Arabidopsis thaliana: one gene and its partner. The protein of the gene in region 1 purifies or fractionates together with the protein of each later gene. This does not show direct contact. Each region holds a gene or a part of one and is shown on either strand. Other genes may lie near its edges.

Region 1 (7,680 bases):
CCACATTTCAAGGGTCAAGGTTGACCTATGTCAAATAAATGTTAGGTGCTGATCTCACACTAAAGTGCTAGTTTACCGAGAGAGCTTCGGATGATCTGGATGCAGTCATTTTTATTTTTTGCATGTGCGAAGCGTAATATATTTTTTACCTTTAATTTGTTAAAACTCAAACGAGTTTCAGTATAGGCGAAGTAACGGAGACATCGTTTTTAATATATTCCACTAGTTCATATTTTTGTGCGTGTTACAAAATACTATTATTCTTTGTTACTCAGATATCATTTGCTAAGGAGTAATTTCCATAGATAAATTTTTGATATTCAAGTTTCAAAACCATACTGTAAAGTGTATGCACATACGTTCATACATCCGAAATTAACTTGAAAAAAGAAAAAAACTTGCCGACCTATATACAACTTGGTGGTAGTTTGTGGGATTAAGAATTTTGTGTGAGATCATGTGACATGTCTTCGAAATTAAGGTTATGCTATTTTGTATATATTTTTAATTCGCAAGTTGATGAATACTGATGGAGGCCGAGGATGATGAGCTCATCAATCATAACCAACAATCTCTCCAACAAATGTTTAGTAAATAATGATATTAATATTTGCAATAAAATGCAAAGAAAACTCTCAGTGCCTCCACACCAAAAGCCTCCACGCTTTCAAACTATTAATTTCAGTTAAGTTGAATAGTGTTAAGTGTTAACTATGGAGAATTGTTTGTTCAATTATTTGATCATTCCATCCACTTGTTTTATTATTTATATCTAGTTTCTTTTATTTTTCAATATCATTTGTAAGTAGCATTAAAAAAATTGAATAAAAATATATACACTTTTTGGACAGCAAGCTCTCTCACTTTTCCTCATTGGTGCTATTTTCGGATATGCTGCAAAAACAACAGAGACAAAATCGTAGATACAAATGTGTTAAGAGGCGCACAACATGAATATTAAATTTTCCCAATACGCTTTTACGTGTAACTCTGAGATATGGTGGCAGCTCGGCCACTAAGGATTCATTTGATAGTTTCAAAGAAAAGCACGCAAAAAAAATCATAGACGTACGTAAGCGGAACACAGAGTCCAGATAGAGTGCAGTTTATTCATATAATCATATTGCATATTTTGACGGAAAAAAAATAAAATCATATTGCATATTTTTCTTCAATTAAAAAATAAATGGGAATTGGCCAATTGGGATATCGACTTACTTTTGGTTATGTGGTTTTCGTCAAACAAAATAAATGGGGAAAGTGAAAATATGTGTAAGCTGTTTCTTTTTTTTTATAACTATAGTAGTAATCGAATCGTTTATTGTTCTTTAGAAAAATAGTATACGAAAAAACGAGAGAATCATTAGGGCTACAATTATAATTATACAAAACCCACTCTATTCCTTAGAGTTTGACCCCACAAGTTTCCTTCGTATTTGGAAAAGACATTAATATTTTTTAAAAATAGCCAACGACGATGACCCACCAACACCACTCTCCATTATTTTAAATTTAATACACCAAAAGTATTACGTAACTTATATAAATTTTAAACCAGATTTTATTGAAGAAATTTAATTACAGTTTTATTCGTCTAAGATCTCGAAGAAATTTTTCTGCAACCATTGATCGATATTCGTCAGATTCTCTTAACTGAAGTAAAAGATGGTTTTCTGTTACTTATTTAACATTTTCTTATTTTTCATATAATATAGTTTTTCTCATTACATAACATTTAAGGCAACATTATAACATTTTCATCGAAATTAAGATCTAACATTAAAGAACCTGCACAATGTAATATGGACAAAACCTCTTAAGCCTAGCAAGTCTTTTGCAGAAATGAAGTTTGAAGATACCAAACAACACATCATCTCTTTCATAATCTCTCCTTATGTGTAATATTGGTCTGCACTTTATGTGGTCATGGACTTAGTCTTGACGCCAATCTTCTTCCAGGAAACACTAGGCATGATTTGTTTCGTGTCCACACGATCTTTAAACTGAACAGCAAAGTTGAGCAACGAATCAAGAAGTGAGTCAGATAGATAGTGAGGCTCAAGTCCAAGTTCCATCAGCTTAGTGTGCTTTGCGTTGTAGTAATGTTCTTCTGCCTCCACTCTCGGGTTAGGCACCGTCATCTTTTTCACGTCTAGCCCAAGCTTTGAACCCGCTTTAGTGACGAGTGAAGCCAGTTCATTGACTGAAAACTGTTCTGTAAATTGGTTGAAGACCCGGAACTCACCAGCTTTTGCCGGGTTTGCTATAGCGATCTCAACACATTGAACCGTGTCTCTTATATCGAGGTAGCCTCTCGTCTGCAAAGGGAAAAACTTCAATCAAAACCTCAAATTTTTCGATTGAAATTTCATGTGAAAACAGATCAAGAAAGTCATTTACCTGACCACCTTTACCATAAACTGTAAGTGGGTGACCAACAGCAGCTTGCACACAGAACCGGTTAAGTGCTGTACCAAACACAGCATCGTAATCCAGTCGGTTACGGAGTTCCTCATGCATCTCTGTCTCATCAGTCTTCACTCCATAAACAACTCCTTGGTTGAGATCAGTGGCTCTAATACCCCAAGCCTTGCAAGTAAAAGCAATGTTGTGCGAATCATGAACTTTGCTAAGATGATAAAAGGAGCTAGCTTGCTTGGGGTATGGCAAAGTGTCAGTTCTACCGTTGTGGGTTATGGTTATATAACCTTCCTCGATGTCAATATTTGGAGTTCCATACTCACCCATCGTCCCAAGTTTTACAAGATGACACTCCTCTCCAAACTCTTTTATAGCAAAGAGAACGTTGAGAGTCCCAATCACATTGTTGTGCTGTGTATAAACTGCTCTGGACCGGTCAATCATCGAGTAAGGAGCGGATCTCTGTTCCCCAAAGTGGACAACTGAATCCGGCTCAAAAGACTTGAAAGACTCAGCTAAGAATTCGAAATCACAGATATCACCAACGTACAACTCAATTGATTTCCCTGTCAAAGCCTTCCATCGGCTGATTCGGTCATGAATGGAGGCAATAGGAGTCAATGACTCAAGTCCAAGCTGGTGGTCGAAAAGACGTCTTACAAGGTTGTCAACAATGCAAACTTCGTAATTCTTCTTGGACAAGTGGAGAGCAGTAGCCCAACCGCAATAACCATCTCCACCAATGACCATAACACGCTTTGGTTTAGAGGATGAGTTATTGGTAGATGTTTCGGGTGGTGCTTGTTGGGTTATAGGTACAGCAGTTGCTCTGAAAACGCAGCTTTTTCTCGGTTTCTTCTCTTGGAAGAGAAGTCCTTTGAGAGAAGATCTTGAAAGAAGCTGAGCATTGAAGAAGGTCTGCCCTGAAACAAACGGCTTAACTGAATTCTTGCTGCTGCTGCTGCTAAGTGAGATAACTGAAGGGCATGAAGCTGAAAGTAGATGCGCCATTTTAAAGGTTTGTTCTTGATTCTATCAAACAAATTCACCTGCAAAAACAAAAGCAGCTAAGATTTCAAGACATAATTTGGTTCAGCAGAACAAGACATATCAAGTAGATGTTTCATACCATATAACAAGTAAGGATTCAGCTGATTTTCTCTAGTTTAACTTCAAATTCAAATCAAAATCCAAAAAGACATGAATAGAAATCGAAACTTTATCTTCACACCCCCCCCCCTAAATCAGCTACGTCCATAACAAGAGAAGAATCAAAACACACGAAATTTGAAGTCTTTTATCGAATCTGAAAATCAGCTATTGTCAAAGACTGGATATTTATTTGATCAACTAAAGTAAATGTAAGAAAGAAGTACATTGATGAAATTCAGAGAAAACCCAACTGAATGAAAACTCTGTGAATTTTGATTTCCTATCATATTCAGAGTTTCTTCAAAACGAAATCACTCAACTTACAAAACCGGAGAAATGAAATTCATTAGAAGAAACGATTGCTTACCTTTGAAAATTTGGAATCTTGTTTAGAGAGAGTTGGAGAAGATCCTTCGAGACTTTGAACTTTGAAGTGAGGGATGGGTCTCTCTTCTCTTCTCCCGGAACGATGAGAGATGAGATGAGACAGATATAAATCATCAGATATGCCCAAAGCATATTCTTACTTATTCCCTTCCCAACAAATTATGGCCCAAAGTGTCGCTTTTTTAAGAACGTTGGTTTATTAGTTTTAAAGTTTTCCGGTTGTGAATGATACAGGTCCGGCCTTTGTGGGCCAGTTTCTCAGTCGCTCATTTAGGCAACTTAAGGAACATTCTTCCCTTACTGGGCCGGTTGGCCCAAATATATACTTTTTGAATATGTTTGTGGCTATTTTCTAAATTTTAACTTTTAATTATTAAAACAGAGAATCATGAGATAGGAGAAAAACAAAATCAACTGTAAAATGCAAACCTAACTTACATAATCTTTTGAATGAAATTTTATTAAGACGCAAAACATTACTAGTATTTCGCATTGTAATAGTCATTTTTCTGCAAGTTGACCAAACAAGAGTCATACTTCTGATGCAAGATACGAACAAAGACTTCAATTATAACAAAACATTCTCATACATCTCATCTCTAATTCTATATTTGTTTTCTCGTAGTTATTATCTTCCAAACTTTAATATTCTTGTCAATGAGGGTACTAGATGAAAATGACGACATTCTATGGTCATTTGATTCCCGTGAACCTCATGTGACCTTGTTAACGTACGTGCACGCACACACAAACCCTCGCACTGATTGACATTCTCCCAATCTTTCTTTATAAAACACACAGACAACTCCATAATATTAATAACCCATATATACTTAGCTTGCTGGTTTCCTTGGCAATAATTTATATAATTCTACAAGTTTAATCGCCTAATCGGATTTAGTAAATGTCTCTCTTACAGGTCTGAAACTTCTTCCACTTCATCTATTTAATGTTATTTTGCTTCTTCAATCCTGTTTCCTCACATAATTTTGCCTCATAATGTTTTCAGGATTTTTGGCAGTTTCTTCGACCATTATCATCTGGTTTGACAGGTATTGTCACTTCAAATCTCAAAGCAATTACTTCATTTCGCTCTTAAACACACTTAAATGCAAATTTTGAGATTTTCTTAGCAAAGTTAACTCAATTTATTTTTGCATGTAACAAAACAGAGTCGTTCACAACTAGCTGTGACTCGGGCGACTCAGACCCGTGCCGAGATGACGCAGCTGCTCTTACCCTCAAGTTCGCAGCTATGGCGTCGATCCTTATCTCCGGAGCTGCCGGAGTCTCGATTCCTCTAGTTGGAACCCTACTTCCGTTAAACGGTGGCTTAATGAGGGGAGCCAAAGCGTTCGCAGCAGGAGTTATCCTCGCAACAGGGTTCGTTCACATGCTCTCGGGCGGATCCAAAGCTTTGTCCGACCCATGTCTGCCGGAGTTTCCATGGAAAATGTTCCCTTTTCCAGAATTCTTCGCCATGGTCGCGGCGCTTCTTACTCTGCTCGCGGATTTCATGATCACGGGATACTACGAGAGGAAACAGGAGAAGATGATGAACCAGTCCGTCGAGTCGCTTGGTACGCAAGTTTCGGTTATGTCTGACCCAGGTCTTGAATCGGGTTTTCTGAGAGATCAAGAAGATGGAGGGGCGTTGCATATCGTGGGGATGCGGGCTCACGCGGAGCATCACCGTCATAGCCTCTCCATGGGTGCCGAAGGTTTTGAGGCTCTCTCTAAGAGAAGTGGTGTTTCCGGTCATGGACACGGCCACAGCCACGGCCACGGGGACGTAGGCTTGGACAGTGGTGTGAGGCACGTTGTTGTTTCTCAGGTAAACGACCTTTTTCTTTTCTTCATATGTTTTTTGACTTTGACTTTGTTTTTCGTAAGCTCTGACTTTTAAGTTTTGAGTTCTTTAATGCTAATAAGATTTATTTATTTCAAATGCAGTTGACTTCATTCATATACAATGTAGCCAAGTCAATTGGATGAATTCTAATAACTGTACATGACTTGCATAAGCTGTTTTAGAGTTGTTATAGTAATCAACTATAAAGTTTTACAATGCCAAGTTTAGTTAGTTGCTAATCACTATATAGATTTTGTTATTGAAAAAAATAATAAAATTTATTTTATTGCTTGTTTAAGTAATTATTTAATGTTATCTTCGTAACTATTATATATAGTACTACTTCATGTTCATTCTACCAAAACATTATTAATATGAAAACGAAAAAATAAGATAATTCTAAAATATCATACTATTATTTAAGTTTTCTTCCAAAGATACAAATGACGACTTAAACGCATTGTGGAAACATTTTTTTTTTTTGGTGTGTGTGTGTGTGTTAATATATTTTGACGTTATGTGACTTAGTCAAACCAATCCGTTTATATAATTTCCTTGTATAGTGTCGATGCACAAAATCAATTGATGATACCCTTATATTTTTGTATTCAGATACTTGAAATGGGAATAGTGTCACATTCAATAATCATAGGAATATCGCTTGGAGTATCACATAGCCCATGCACCATACGTCCTCTCCTTCTCGCTCTTTCCTTCCACCAATTCTTCGAAGGTTTTGCCCTCGGTGGCTGCGTCGCAGAGGCCAGACTAACCCCGCGTGGATCTGCCATGATGGCTTTCTTCTTCGCCATCACTACTCCGATCGGTGTAGCGGTGGGAACGGCCATTGCCTCATCTTACAACTCTTATAGCGTTGCAGCATTGGTGGCTGAAGGAGTGCTCGATTCTCTCTCTGCGGGGATACTTGTGTACATGGCGCTTGTGGATTTGATCGCTGCGGATTTCTTGAGCAAGAAGATGAGTGTTGATTTCAGAGTTCAAGTTGTTTCTTATTGCTTTTTGTTTCTTGGAGCTGGGATGATGTCTGCTCTTGCAATTTGGGCTTGATCACTTTTCATTATTACTATTTGTTTATGAAAGTAATAAATTTAGGCATGCCTTTTTCTTTTTTCTTTTGGACAGAATTATTATAGGTATGCCTATCACTCTATTTGTTTCAAAATAATGTTTGTAATCAATTCTATTAGATATTCACTCTTTATCAATCATGTTATATATTTTTGTAGCTGGTAAACAAATAATTAATTTTTGAACAAAAAACAAAAACAAATACAATTAGTTTTTACAAGCAAGTATGCAACTGAAATCCAAAGATTTTCTTGACGCCTTTTCGAGCATATTCTAATCCTTCATTTTGATTTAGCTCAAGAAACGCCATAATAGAACCATATATATGAACTAAGTGTTTTTAAAAAGAGTAGGTCATGACTCATGAGTAATCTTTTCCACGATCTTTAAGATATATTATTCTTGGAAGGTCGAAAACTATAATATTTCATTTTCTGTCGAATATATATATATATGGATGACGATGGTTCCCATGCATGATGAAGAAAAAGACGAACCCTATATTTATCTGTTTAATTAAAATTTTCTTTGTGGAGATAAACTCTCTGTGAAACGCATTCCGCCACCTAATTTATCATATATTTTCATGTGAACCAAAATAATTAAAATTTGTTTGCCATATATATATTTATTTGTTGTTATCTTTCTGAGTGATAAAGGTGACAAACATTTTTGTCCACTGATACCCAATCTCTTCCACTTCAGTTCCCTTCCTTTCAAATTTTATCTCGTGCTTTTACAGCATATCCCACAATTCCTGTAAATTATCTCAAGGATTT
Region 2 (5,781 bases), on another chromosome or scaffold:
TAACTGGGGCTGACTGGACCAGTTCATGATAGGTCTTATCTTCAATTCTAGAAGGGGGTTTCCTCTCGTGCTCAAAGCTCTGACGTTTTTCTTCTATGTTAAGCACTGTAGCGTTAGGGCCACTCTCTGACATTGGATGAACCATTCCCAGAGCACTTAAGTTAACAGAAACAGGCATACCACTGTGCTCACCATACACATTTGGGATGAACTGCGGTTTCATAATAACCCTATCTCTCATAAACTCAAAAGCAAATTCTTCACCGGTCTGTATTGAGTAGTTTAGCACTGGCCGAGCAGGGGTTGAAACACCATAATCTGGAGGTCGTACATAAGTGTTAACATTAGTTGAAGAGTCGTGGGAAAACCTTTGATTAATGGAGCCAAGTCCCTCATCTCTAGGGTCAGGGGCAGTATACCGAACATGTTCATAACCTTTTGCTTGATCCATGTTTTCTTTCTCAAGGTGTCTATCTATCTAGTTCATAAGCTCCCTCACAAACGCTTGTAGGCGACATATCATGATCATGACCCAAGTAAAATCTTTGCATAAGCATCCTTCGCAAATTTCTAACGTTTTGGCTGCAGAACAGGACGACTTCTATCATGAACAACTCAAACTCTCATTGAGGTGCCTGAAATAGGAGAAGAGTAACTTTACTCAAGTAGTCAAACATATTCAAGAACAAAAAAACCAAAATAGCATACGGCTAAAACTCAGAAAACCATACTATTTAAGGAACATTTTCGGTATACAAACCAATAAAACTCTTTACTCTAGCAGGGACAGATCATCCAGTACAAATATCTGACTGTGCATACTTTCCAACATGAAACTAGCTAAAATGACTACTTTCTAGTCTCTTCAAGTTTAAACTAACAGGAATCGCTGAAACTAAAATCGATCAACTTCACCAAACTATTAGCAAACCCATCGTAACTTTGAGAGAGTGTAAATCAACAGATCAAAACATAGAACTAAATCCAAAATTCAATCAAGTCCGTGAAACAATTCCAAACCTCAAAAAGGAAACAAATAAGCGTCATTTCGAACCAAAAACTGAGCTAAAAACCTCTACCCAACCAAAAAACAAAAGCCGATCAAGCCATCAAAACCACTGAAACTCTAGAAAATGCAAGATCTGAGTATCATTACCCGAAATTCAGGTGGAAACACATCGGATCCAGAGATTTTCGATAATAATGATCAAAATTCAAAAACAGCATACACCTAAAAGGAAGACGAGTAAGCAAAGAAGGAGAGAAGTAGAGAAAAAGGTTTATACCAGGAAAGGCGGCACCAGAGACTGTGAAGCGTCCTCGGTTTGACGATCGATGAGTAGGAGAAGAAGCCAAGTCCTTCCTTAAAATCTCTCTTCTAATTTTGACAATTCGAAAAACAAAACTATATTCTCGAGAAAAAAACTATTATGCCTACCAATAAAATAATTGTTATCTACTTACATTATTTAAAATTCTGAAAAGCAAATAAAATATCATATAAAACATAAGAAGCTTTCGTCATCTCCATAGTTAGTCTTTTGTAATATTACCACTCTGATCCAATAAAGTTTTATTTCTTACTAATTAGTTTACACTTGAGAATTTTGGTTTCTACTAAATTTTTTAAAATTTGGAGTTAAAATAGTTTAGTTTTATTTTTGGGGGAAATAAAAAGAGAAGCTTTATTCCAATTTTCCAAATATTCCAGGTGTAATCTAACTGTCAAGGCCATAATAATAAATACATAATTCCACCTGACGCCAATAATAAATTACATATTTTCCTTTTTTTTTTATTTTTTTTTCTAATTTATTTCCAAAATTAGCCGCAAAATCACAAAACCTAACAGAGCTCAACACTACACACTGTTTCAAAATCAGACTACTATGCTCAGCTCAGCCGCCACCGCCACCTCCGTGAGTGCTCGCTCCGGCGATATTCTCTGCGGCTTGTTTCGCAAAAAATCCGTCGCGCCTTTTCGTTTTACTCAGCCTGTGAGTTCTCCTCTGTGTGTGGACGTGTTCCTTTGTGTCTTTGTTTCATGTTCTGCTAAACTTTTTAATATTAGTGGAATTTTCAATGAGCAGGTCTATCGTACGTCGCTGTGTCCAAGTTTCGTTGCTGTTCGAGCCATGGCAGAGTCTCAGACTGCTCAGAGGAATCAGCCGCAATCCTCAGGCTCCTCTGGTTTACAATTTTTCTTTTTGCTGCAATTTCAAATTCAGTGATCGATTTTCAGTTACGTTTTAGTGATTTTCAAATAATCGGGCTTTAATTGAATCAGGGGAGAAGCAAGCTTTGATATCTCTATCTGACAAGAGGGACTTGGCTTCTCTTGGCAACGGTCTGCAAGAATTGGGGTATGTGTTCTTCACAACTCTCTCTTACTTAGAACTATACAAATTTTGGTTTTGTTTCTATCTTATATGTAAATGATTCCTTTTTTCATTGATATTTGTGTAGATACACTATTGTTTCTACTGGAGGAACTGCCTCTACTTTGGAGAATGCTGGAGTCTCTGTGACCAAAGTGGAGAAGCTTACTCATTTTCCAGAAATGGCATGTTTTTCTTTTCTCTTATGCTCGCTGCTCTTGCTAAAAGTTTTGGTCTTGTGATCTCGCTGATATTTATATTTAAGTTTTGGTTTATACCATTGTTTTGTTGAGTTTAGTATATTAAACTTAGCTCTCCTTTTTTTTTTTCTTCTCTTAAAGCTTGATGGCCGTGTGAAAACTTTGCATCCAAACATACATGGTGGTATCCTCGCTAGAAGGGATGTGGAGCATCATATGGAAGCTCTTAATGAGCATGGGATTGGTGAGTTTTGACCTTTGATTGATCCTCTACATTAAGCTTGAGACTAAGTCATTTATAGTGTCTCCTTATGTTTAACTGTACCTTTTTTTTTTTTAATTCTATGACAGGTACATTTGATGTTGTGGTTGTCAATTTGTACCCGTTCTATGAAAAAGTTACTGCTCCAGGTGGGATCAGTTTTGAGGATGGGATTGAGAACATTGACATTGGTGGCCCTGCTATGATTAGAGCAGCTGCTAAGGTAATACATATATCTGTGCATATGAGACTTTTTCTTTACACTTGCAAGATTATTTTCAAGATTATAAATGTATATTTTCTATTGTTTTTTCAACAGAACCACAAAGACGTTCTCATTGTTGTCGATTCAGGAGATTATCAAGCTGTTTTGGAGTATCTCAAAGGAGGACAGAGCGACCAACAATTCCGCAGAAAACTTGCGTGGAAGGCCTTTCAGCATGTTGCTGCATATGATTCTGCGGTTTCAGAATGGCTATGGAAGCAGACTGAAGGAAGTATGTGATTGTTTTTATGTGATCCTCCTTACACTAGTTATGGCAATTGGCAACTTACATTGATTGATATTCATGTCTTTCTCAGAAGAGAAGTTCCCTCCCAGCTTTACAGTTCCGCTTGTACTTAAGAGTTCTCTTCGTTACGGTGAAAATCCTCATCAAAAAGCTGCATTTTATGTTGATAAGAGCCTTGCTGAAGTGAATGCCGGTGGTATCGCAACAGCGATTCAGCATCATGGAAAGGTAAGAAAGTATGCTACTTTTTCTGTCCGGTGTAATTTACAGAGCAAATAGTTTTAAACTGCCATTTATATCCTTATCCTCGCTTTCAAGCCTTATTATGTTTAACTTTTCTATTTATTTCTGTGAGCAGGAAATGTCATACAACAACTATCTTGATGCTGACGCTGCATGGAACTGTGTGTCGGAATTTGAAAACCCAACATGTGTAGTCGTGAAGCATACAAATCCTTGTGGTGTGGCCTCTCGTGATGATATTCTTGAGGCTTACCGGCTAGCTGTAAAAGCTGACCCAGTTAGTGCCTTTGGTGGCATTGTAGCTTTCAATGTTGAAGTTGACGAGGTAATCAAAAGTCAAACTACTGTTGTCCCATACATTATTCAATTGTTTAGTGATCTGTAACTGTCTCTAGGTTCTTGCGAGGGAGATCCGAGAGTTCAGGAGCCCAACAGACGGGGAAACTAGAATGTTTTATGAAATCGTGGTTGCTCCAAAGTATACTGCTAAAGGTCTTGAAGTCCTCAAAGGGAAATCAAAAACTTTGAGGATCCTCGAAGCTAAAAAGAATGACCAAGGGAAACTATCGCTCAGACAGGTTGGTGGCGGCTGGTTGGCTCAGGACTCGGACGATTTAACTCCAGAAGACATCAGCTTCAATTCTGTCTCAGACAAAACTCCGACTGAAAGCGAACTTGCGGATGCAAAATTTGCCTGGCTCTGCGTTAAGCATGTCAAGAGCAATGCCATTGTGATAGCAAAGGTTGGATTTTCCTCTCTGATTCCTTTTCTTGTTTCTCTTTCTGTACTTGTTTGCTAGTAGTTTATTCTGATTCTTGGGTTGGCTCATAGAACAATTGTATGCTGGGGATGGGAAGCGGACAGCCAAACCGAGTAGAGAGTCTGAGAATAGCTTTCAAGAAAGCTGGGGAGGAAGCTAAAGGAGCTGCCTTGGCCAGTGACGCATTCTTCCCATTCGGTATATATATTTTTCTCTCCGAAACCATTCTTCTGTCTGAAATGACTCATCAATCAACAAATGTTAGCCGTTCTGAATTGGAAATTTGTTGTTGTGTGAATTGCAGCTTGGAAAGATGCGGTGGAAGAGGCGTGCCAGATGGGAATAGGAGTGATAGCAGAACCTGGAGGCAGTATTAGAGACCAAGACGCTATTGATTGCTGCAAAAAGTATGGAGTCTCTCTGCTCTTCACCAACGTTAGACATTTCCGCCATTAAGGACACATCCCTCCAGTTTTGCTCTTATAAACACATCCAAGAGAGTTTCTGAAGAAGAAAACCCACCAAACAAAACACAAAGAGTGGGAAATAAAACTGTTGTAACATTAATTTGGATTGCGTTCGAGTTTATGTATGATTAGAACCTGAGAGCTGTTCCTACTTATAAATTTGACATTTTTCACCCAAAATCATATCTTTCTCTACATCCAGAAACTGATGAGATTTGCATATAAAATATTCAACATTTCTACTCAAACTGGAGTGAGAAAGTCGACGACAGTGTGGAGAGAGATCAGAGATGGCGACAGGGAAAGTGGTGGTGGAGAAAGTGGGAGGAAGATCTACAGCTACGAGCTGCTTCTCGAAGTATCCTCTCAAGTTCTTACTTCCTAGCAAGGTCTCCTCTCTCTCTCTACGTAGAGTTCACAGTTTCGAATTTTCAATCTTTAGTTATTAAAGTTCCGGCGACACTGAACTTTCAGGCAGCTCCTGCTGGAACTGACGTTGTCTGGATTTACAGTATCACTTATGGTGGCGGCATTGTCTCTGTATTTCCCTATTTCTCTGTCTCTTTATTAATGAATTTGCCATCGATGCGCTTGAATCAATCTAGTTCTTGTTCAAATTATGTAGGGCGATTCGATTTCATGTGAATTCACAATTGGTGATGGATGCACTGCAGTTATTACAACGCAGTCTTCTACTAAGGTTGAATCAATTTAGGGCTTTTCTCTCTCTTTGCAATGGACACTAATTTCATCCTACGTGGTTGACTTTCTGTTGATGGATCTTGTGATTTCACACAGGTGTACAAGGCAATAGGATCAAAGTGTTCTGAACAGATATTGGAAGTAATGTTTCTTTCACATTTCTACTAAAATCATTTTGAGCTTTCTTAGTAGAACAGAGTGCTATTGCAATAGAATAGGACCATTTTCTTTGATTCATGTTCCTGATTGATCTTTC

Evidence for each region. The genes of interacting proteins can lie anywhere in the genome.
Region 2: the proteins of SQD1 (region 1) and AT2G35040 fractionate together in Arabidopsis thaliana (co-fractionation; one large-scale study listed by BioGRID). This does not show direct contact.

The regions. Positions count from the first base shown.
Region 1 is NC_003075.7:15,931,803-15,939,482, reverse strand, and holds SQD1 (sulfoquinovosyldiacylglycerol 1), read right to left. Parts: upstream 4,111-7,680; 5' UTR 3,941-4,110; intron 3,471-3,940; 5' UTR 3,433-3,470; coding exon 2,401-3,432; intron 2,319-2,400; coding exon 1,917-2,318; 3' UTR 1,650-1,916; downstream 1-1,649. Other genes in the region: ZIP9 (ZIP metal ion transporter family), read left to right, coding at 4,865-4,879, 4,970-5,012, 5,133-5,794, 6,425-6,880. UniProt on the Arabidopsis thaliana protein: Involved in the biosynthesis of sulfolipids found in thylakoid membranes. Converts UDP-glucose and sulfite to the sulfolipid head group precursor UDP-sulfoquinovose.
Region 2 is NC_003071.7:14,764,378-14,770,158, reverse strand, and holds AT2G35040 (AICARFT/IMPCHase bienzyme family protein), read left to right. Parts: upstream 1-1,840; 5' UTR 1,841-1,889; coding exon 1,890-1,997; intron 1,998-2,071; exon of another isoform or gene 2,072-2,090; coding exon 2,091-2,190; intron 2,191-2,287; coding exon 2,288-2,363; intron 2,364-2,466; coding exon 2,467-2,563; intron 2,564-2,719; coding exon 2,720-2,822; intron 2,823-2,929; coding exon 2,930-3,063; intron 3,064-3,159; coding exon 3,160-3,337; intron 3,338-3,422; coding exon 3,423-3,580; intron 3,581-3,710; coding exon 3,711-3,920; intron 3,921-3,990; coding exon 3,991-4,338; intron 4,339-4,427; coding exon 4,428-4,554; intron 4,555-4,660; coding exon 4,661-4,812; 3' UTR 4,813-5,014; downstream 5,015-5,781. Other genes in the region: AT2G35050 (kinase superfamily with octicosapeptide/Phox/Bem1p domain-containing protein), read right to left, coding at 1-451; URED (urease accessory protein D), read left to right, coding at 5,114-5,212, 5,298-5,363, 5,449-5,523, 5,622-5,666.